2 linked regions of the Nothobranchius furzeri genome follow. The protein of the gene in region 2 binds, or shares a complex with, the protein of the main gene of each other region. Links are inferred from orthologs where the notes say so. Each region holds a gene or a part of one and is shown on either strand. Other genes may lie near its edges. The genes, in order: anks4b and cdhr5b.

Evidence for each region.
Region 1: cdhr5b (region 2) and anks4b share a complex: the UniProt entries of both Homo sapiens proteins name them as parts of the IMAC/intermicrovillar adhesion complex. The link is inferred for Nothobranchius furzeri from reciprocal best matches to the Homo sapiens genes CDHR5 and ANKS4B.

What each region holds. Positions count from the first base shown.
Region 1 is NC_091752.1:56,799,534-56,803,928, reverse strand, and holds the start of anks4b (ankyrin repeat and SAM domain-containing protein 4B), read right to left. Parts: upstream 3,093-4,395; 5' UTR 2,862-3,092; coding exon 2,701-2,861; intron 129-2,700; coding exon 1-128. UniProt on the Homo sapiens protein: As part of the intermicrovillar adhesion complex/IMAC plays a role in epithelial brush border differentiation, controlling microvilli organization and length. Plays a role in assembly of the complex.
Region 2 is NC_091754.1:42,619,904-42,623,725, reverse strand, and holds part of cdhr5b (cadherin-related family member 5), read right to left. Parts: intron 1,560-3,822; coding exon 1,384-1,559; intron 1,291-1,383; coding exon 1,240-1,290; intron 1,122-1,239; coding exon 1,032-1,121; intron 947-1,031; coding exon 860-946; intron 741-859; coding exon 639-740; intron 541-638; coding exon 355-540; intron 248-354; coding exon 157-247; intron 92-156; coding exon 1-91. UniProt on the Homo sapiens protein: Intermicrovillar adhesion molecule that forms, via its extracellular domain, calcium-dependent heterophilic complexes with CDHR2 on adjacent microvilli. Thereby, controls the packing of microvilli at the apical membrane of epithelial cells.

The sequences.
Region 1 (4,395 bases), on a different chromosome or scaffold from region 2:
ATTCATTGTCCTGAGAAAAGAGATTGGCTCCAAAATTAACCAGAAAGCTGATAATGTGCATGTGGCCGTTAGCTGCTGCATGGTGCAGGGGCGTGTTCCCCCAGATGTCACTCTTGTTGGGATCTCCTCTAGATAAAGCAAAAGAGACAAAAACAACAGAAGAGTAATCGATTGTAAATGAGAATCAAACATTAAAGGCTGAATATGGAACATGGACACTCTGGTGTTCAGAGGTGGTATTGCAACAATAGGACAAATTTTCCAGCAGCTGGGATGTTGGTTCACTGCTGACACGTTTCAGCACCCTGTTCCAGTAGATGTAAACATAAAGCCAGTGTCATGCCCAACAAAATAAAAATTTGATTATGCATTTTTTAAATATAGCTTTTAAAGGAGAAACTGTACATTCATCCTGCACCTCTAAACGCCCTGTGGGGGTATTATTTAAAAAATAAGAAAAGTGTTCCATATTTTAACTTTAAAGTTTAGCTCAACAACGTGTCTTTTGCAGCTCAAAACAGATGCAGAGGAGAAAGGAATGAAAACGAAGTAGGCCTTATTATAGATGTCGAGAAAACCTTGCAAAAACGATAAAACAAAGATTATTATTGTTGTCAGTTAGTAAAATTAATTTTTGTATGAACAAAATAACTTTCATCATGTTTTTTCCAACTCTGATATATATTAATAATGTTTTCTTCTTTGTAGTTAACATTATCTGTGCAAAAATGTGTATTTGAATAAAAACAAAAAAGTGTTTATATGCAAAGGAAATGATAAATATTGTATTTGAGCTCACAACAGATAGACTTTTACAGCACCATCAGTGGTTAAGTCAGATCGATACTGTTCAAGGTTTAAAATATATATTTTTTTTCAATGAAGGTTGGATAGATTGATTGAAAACAATAATATTTTAAACCATGAACAATATGGATTTAGGACAAAACATCTAACTTCAATGGCAATAATGGCATTAACAGAAAGCCATCAGTAACACTCGCTATAGAGAGCCATGTAACCCTTTATTTATGTTTATGTTTATTTATTTGGCAGACGTACAAAGTGACGTACAATGTTTCAACCTATAGGGCATGTTGTGATCTGTGGGGGAAGCTCACGCATGCATGGGGAGAGCATGCAACTCCACGCAGAAAGTCTACAACCGAGTTTCGAACCCTTAGTTATTATAACTTTTTTTGCTGATAAACTGAAAAAAATGAGTGTCTAATCATGCTGTAGACATGTGTAGTCAATAATTAGGCACTTTAGTGCATCTTAATTCAAATTTAAAAATTCTGCCAAACTGTCAGTATTGCGCCATCTTCAGGTAAAAACTCAGCACTGCATGTGTATTTTAATCTGCTGTCGTTATTGGCTTAGAGGTACCCTATGACATCAGCTGGTACCATGTGATGTTACAATGCCATTGTGAGCCTGTGTGTGTGTGTGTGTGTGTGTTTGTTAGCGGCTTCGCCCTCAGGCAACGGCATTTGTTGCATTTTCAAACAGGAAGTGGGAGTGGAGTAAGACTCTGGTAGGGGGTGACTTGCTCTTTAATGTATTTTAAAAAGGTGTCAAATTAAATGTATTAAGAAATTATATAAATATGAATTAAGATGGTGTCTGCAAAGTGAGTGTGCAAGTTGAATTTGTTGAGGGGGATGAATTTTATGTTGCTTTAGTAAAAAAAAATAAGATTTTTTTCTTCTCTCTGTTCCTTTTCATTCTTTGTTTTTTTCTGTGTGTGTTGTTGTAAATATTCCATGTTTTTGTTCTTATTTTCGTCTTGTTCTTTGAAATAAATAAATAAATAAATAATAAAAAAAAGTAGACACACGTTGGTTAAACACGTCTCCATGTATTTAATCTGAGTGTTTATCATTAAGAGCGCTGGCAACATGCTTGTGCTTTGCTGATCAAACTATTTTATTTATAAATGAATGGGAAATATAGTTATTTATTTATTCATTTATTATTATTCTTTACTTTTCGATAACCTTCAAAAAGCAGTCTCTTCACAAATCTCCCTTTGTGTTGTGTAATATAAAAGTAAAATAAAAACCACAATATTATTGTGTTATAACATAATAAGTGTGTTAAAATCAGTGGTTTACAGAATGAGCTGTTGCTATTGAGCTGTTAAACTGGAAGGCCTTTAATGGTTTTCCTTCCTGTTGGAGCCATAAAAGCTTTAATCGCTACAGGAGTTTATTATGAAGCCCAGATCTGACTGGTTCTGATAAAAAGACTTAACTTCTGATTTAGGTCATGTATCAAACATATTCTCTGGGTCTCAGGCTAGATTTTAACCAGTCCTTTGTTGCTGTTAATGGAGCCAAGGTGGGGGTACTGGGGGATAGATGGCTGAATGAAAGGCTCTTTTGTTTTACAGAACAAATAAAAAATTTTGGCTCTGCTCAAAGGAGAATGTGGAAGAAAGATGGAAAACATCAACCGGTGTAAATAAAGTCCCATAAAAATCAATTGAATGAAAAAGAAGCCATAAAACACCTTCTACGGTAACGCTGACCTTTGCTCCTTTGCTGTTATTTATGACTTATTGTTAATCTTAATTTAATTCTCTAGGGAGGAATAATTCATTTGTGAATAGCAGTGATCATAATAACAGACAGAGTTCTGATCCACAAACAGCCTGATTTCAGACTAATCCTGGTTGGATAATAGAAAGTAACTTACTCTCTGCTGCATATGAGCTGAAGAGCGTTGACGTGTCCATGAAAAGCAGCCAGTAGGGTGGGAGTCATCCCATCATCATCTGCGGTGTTCAGGTGCTTCCTTGTTGCCTCCTTCAAGAGGTCCAAGTTACCATCGATCGCTGCCTTGTGGTACCTCGACATCTTTCAAATGAATGTGTTGCTGCCTCCTCTGACCACAGAATTGGAACAGCGATGGCTGACCCGAGCAAACAAAGTGATCACTGGGCGTGTGAGCAGCTGAGCTATAAAACAAAGTCCAGCTTGATGTCGTCAGTTCCTGCTTTAACTATCATCCCTGAAAGCACAAGTATCACAACAGACATGTGACCAGTTAAAGAGGATACCAGTTTAAAAGTTTCCTACATAAGGAACCCAGCAAATTGCATCGAGTCACTAACTAGTGTCAGTGACTTTACAGCAATCCTCATACTAAGCAAGCATTTAGCGACAGTGGAGAGGAAAACTCCCTTTTAACAGGAAGAAACCTCCAGAGGATCCTGGCTCAGAATAAGCAGCCATCCACCACGACTCACTGGGGCTGGAGAAGACAGAGCACACACACACACACACACACACACACACACACACACACACACACACACACACACACACACACACACACACACACACACACACACACACACACACACACACACACACACACACACACACACACACACACACACACACACACACACACACACACACACACACACACACACACACACACCACACAACATATATACCAAGTAGTGTTTCTATGGTTACATTGTGATTTCTTAGTAAATATTCTATTTGGTGAGAGATAAACTTTATTGTATTTATCCTAGTGAATCTATAATTAAATGGGTAAACTAGTAGTAGCACATTCAATGTCAAAGAAAGTTAAATTGTATTATCAGGAGAGGGAGAATGTTTAAGTGGTTAGCAACAGTGTTCAAGCCAATGGCCCCCTCCATGAGGCCACCACAGCTCAGCAGAACATCATTCTAGCTTCTTCTGGGGAGAAAAACACTTAGAGAAAAAACATAAACAGCTGAAATAGCAGAAAGTAATACAGTTAAAGAGCAAATTGTAGAAGAAAGTTGTAGAGTGTAGAAAGTGGTCAGTGTGTCCTCCAGCAGTCTAAGCCTATAGCAGCATAACTACAGAGATAACTCTGGATAACCTAGCCTTTTAGGTGGAAGCATGTTGGAGGCAGGGCAAGGGAGAGTCGTTTTTACCGACTGTACACTCCACCTCCCTCTACTCCCTCACTTGTCCAGATTTGGGCTAACATCAGATTTTAACCATAGACCCTATCAAATAATTTAAGTCCAGTCTTAAAAGTAGACAAGGTGTCTGCCTCATGGACTAAAGCTGGGAGCTGGTTCCACAGGAGAGGAGCCTGATAGCTAAAAGAACTTTCTCCCATCCTATTTTTAGATATTCTGGGAACCACCAGCAAACTTGCAGTCTGAGAGTGAAGTGTTCGGTTAGGAACATATGGAATAATCAGGTCACTTATGGAAGATGGAGCTTGATTATTAAGAGCTTTATGTGTGAGAAGGAGGATCTTAAAATCTATTCTGAATTTAACAGGCAGCCAATGTAGGAAAGCTGTAATGGATCTACGTAGTTAATTATGACCAATAAGATGTGATGATTCCAAATAAATATGAAATATCAACCTAAT
Region 2 (3,822 bases):
GTCAGTCTGATTGGCTCCAGTACATCGGCTGGCCTCGACATGGTGATGTTTCCGGTGTCTTGGTTGATTACAAAAAGGCCCGGTTCATTTTCTAAAACACAAACACAGACTGAGCTGCTTCAGGAATAACAACCACTGCAACTCTAAGCTCCTTACCGGAAAGGAACGAGTATCTAATCGGCTCATTTATCCCAAAGTCTCCATCAATGGCATAGAGAGGACCTGGTTTCAGGGGTAGGACTCCAGTCTGAACAGGAACAAAACACTTGTTTAGCTTTTCAAAAGCAGCAACACATAAAAATATTCTGTCAGCAGCTGATCTGGAGTCGGCGCTGTGGAACAGAGGCAACTCACCACTTGTTCATCTAGGTCAACTTTGCCAGTGTAGCCAGTTGTCTCACAGACCACAGCTCCATTCACTTCAGTTTGGTGGCAAGGTTGGAACCAAGGAGGTCTGTTGTCAACATCCAAGATGGAGATCATGATGGTTGTGGTGGCAGTAAAAGAGGTTTCCTCAGGTGGTGACGCCAGCGGCGTGTCCTACGACATTAAAATGGCTGCTTACTCTAGAAAAATAAGCCGTTTTTTCCACCTTATGGTGGAATAAAATCTAAATATCCCCAGACAGCAATACTCACCTGGGCTTCCAGCACAAGCTGATACTCTTTGACTTTTTCATAGTCGAGGCGCCCGTTAACGAGGATTTCTGGGATAATGGATGACTTGAGTTTAAACTCACTCTATCAAAAAAACAATAAATAAAAACAGATAAATCATGGATCTGGGATGATGGCTCTGGAGTGGTGAGAGAAGGAGATCAAGGATGACAAAACAAACCAGAAAAAACCTCGATTCTTACTGGGGAAGATGCCAGCTGGTAGAAGATCCGAGGTCCATCAGCATCTGTGGCAGCAAACCTTCCTACAGTTGTGTCTATGGGAGACAGCTGTGGAGGACATGTCCCTCAACATAAGGCCGTCAGGGGGGAGGAAGAAAACACCAACGGAATCACAATACTACTATAATACTACCTCGTTGGCACTGGCGTGGTACACATTCTGGTCAAAAACGGGCGGGTTGTCGTTTAGATTTTCCACAAGAATGGTGATTCTGAGGGTTCTCTGGAAACAAAAGCTTTCATCTGAATGAACTTTGTTGCTGCTGTGGAGTTTTAACTTTAGTTTTACATATTTGCTTCAAATGCTTCATTATTGTTAAAATAATAAAATCCAGTCTTACTTGAGATACTTCTTCTAACCTGCAGAGGACGCCAACAGAAAAGATTTGGGTCTGGAAATACAATTAGAAAGCATTCCTATAGTAAAGAAAATATGAACTGATGAATAAAAACGAGTCTCAGCCAGAAATAGCATCAGTCCTGACCTCTGTGTTTTCATAGTCCAGCACAGCTGTAGCTATTAGCTGGTTTGCATCAAGTCTAAAGGGGATGTCTGTGGAGGTCAGTTCAAGGATCACTCCAGCTTGGACAAAGATGGTTGTCACAGGATCGCCCACTTTGTTGTTTTCTGCAAAGTTTACGGCGGAAGGGGCGTCGCAGACTGTTGGTAGAGAAAGAAATTCAGTTATTAGTCTGATGGAGACAAAATCCAACATCAAGTATAAGAACACGTGTTTGGTGTAAGCCAGGGGTCGGCAACCTTTTCCCATCGAAGAGCCATTGTTACCCGTTTCCCACAGGAAAGACAACACTGGTGTTGTGGGTGGGGCCTACCGGACCTGAGCCCACCCACTTGCACTTGGGCCCACAGCCGAGAGCTGCTTTAACCAATCACGACAGTTGATGGCAAACAACAGCGGTCGCTCGTGTACGTCAAAGTTCTCTTTCAGCAGAAAAGAATGATTCAAACAGTTTGTATAATATTGATGCAGAAGTTGCTACAACATTTAGATGTTTTTCACCATTAGTGGTTTTAATAGTTGAGCAGGTTCTGCTTTTTGACGCGTCACACACGTCTCCTTAAACTGTTCAGAATACAAATCCAGGCTCTGTTTGGTTGGATTGCTGTAATTTAACTTTGTACAGAACAAAACTTTACATTAAACAACGTCGAAAAGGTAAGAAAAAGATCAGATCAAGTAATTTCCCCCCTCATCTATCAGACAAGAGTTAACAATATATTCCTTACATTCATAATTTCCAAATTAGAACACTATAGAAGTTCTGACTTCCTGACAACACGAATCCCGTTTGGATTATTATCCACAGAAAATACAAATTAAACTCATGAACTAAAGAACATTTTCATTTCAGAGTAAAATGCACCAAATTTCAAAACTTTTGCAGCATTTGAATTGAAACATCTTTGAAATTTAAATTAAATGTATTCATTTATTGAACCAGATTTTTAAATAAAACCAGATTTCATATTAGAAAACCTCTAAGTCGTATTTGAAGGGATGAAAGCATCCTGAACAATACTGACAACATTTGGAAACCAGTTTTAACTTGTCACAGAAAAATTCACTTCACTGAGAGTGAATGATATTCTCATTTAAGTCACAAAGGTTTAGTCAGATCTGATGTTTTCTGACAGCAAACCCCTGAATCTGGGTTTCACGGGCTGACCAACGTTGACAGGATCACCTGCGAGCACCAGCACTGTGTGGCGCGGCAACAAGAAAAAAAAACATGTTCAAAATTTCTACAGATGTTGGTCTTATTCTAAAAAGTAGGACATTATAACAGTTACTCCGTGTGTAGATGTGGACTAAAGATGCTCTGTTGGGGTTCAATCTGGAGTCGCTGAAGAAAGTTCCTAAGAATATAACTGAGTTTCAGGTTGAAAACAAATAACAATTACAGTAAATGTTGTTAAAATGAGGAATTTTCCTTTTTAAGGGGGTTGGAGTTGGAGCTGTTGACACTCGCACAACAATAGGATTTCTCTGATTCTACCCTACACACTTTATTATGAAATCCACTTTCAGGAACTCCCAGTGTCCATGCTGGTAGTTAATTACTCATGTCTCCACCCACCACAAATTAATAATCCACCAAATCTAGAAGGAGATGTTCATTAAAACAGTCTGAGGCACAATTTTATGCAATGAAGACTTTTATGTGGCCATTTGTTCACTTCTTTAGTCTGTTTTCGTCGTCGTCATCTTCCTCCGCTTATCCGGGTCCGGGTTGTGGGGGCAGCATCCCAACTAGGGACTCCAGACCGTCCTCTCCCCGGCCACCTCCACCAGTTCCTCCAGCAGGACCCCAAGGCGTTCCTGGACCAGATTGGAGATGAAACCTCTCCAATGTGTCCTGGGTCGACCCGGGGGGCTCCTGCCAGCAGGACATGCCCGAAACACCTCCCCAGGGAGGCGTCCAGGAGGCATCCTGACCAGATGCCCAAACCACCTCAACTGACTCCTTTCGATCCGGAGGAGCAGCGGGTCTACTCCGAGTCCCTCCCGAATGTCCGAGCTCCTCACCCTATCTCTAAGGCTGAGCCCAGCCACCCTACGGAGGAAACTCATTTTGGCTGCTTGTATCCGGGATCTCGTTCTTTCGGTCATTACCCAAAGCTCATGACCATAGGTGAGGATTGGGACGTAGATCGACCGGTAAATCGAGAGCCTGGCTTTCTGGCTCAGCTCCCTCTTTTCCACGACAGATCAGCTAAGCGTCCGCATCACTGCAGATGCTGAACCAATCTGGCTGTCGATCTCCCAATCCCTCCTACCCTCACTCGTGAACAAGACCCCGAGATACTTAAATTCCTCCACTTGAGGTAGGACCTCTCTCCCGACCCGGAGTTGGCAAGCCACCCTTTTCCGGTCGAGAACCATGGTCTCAGATTTGGAGGT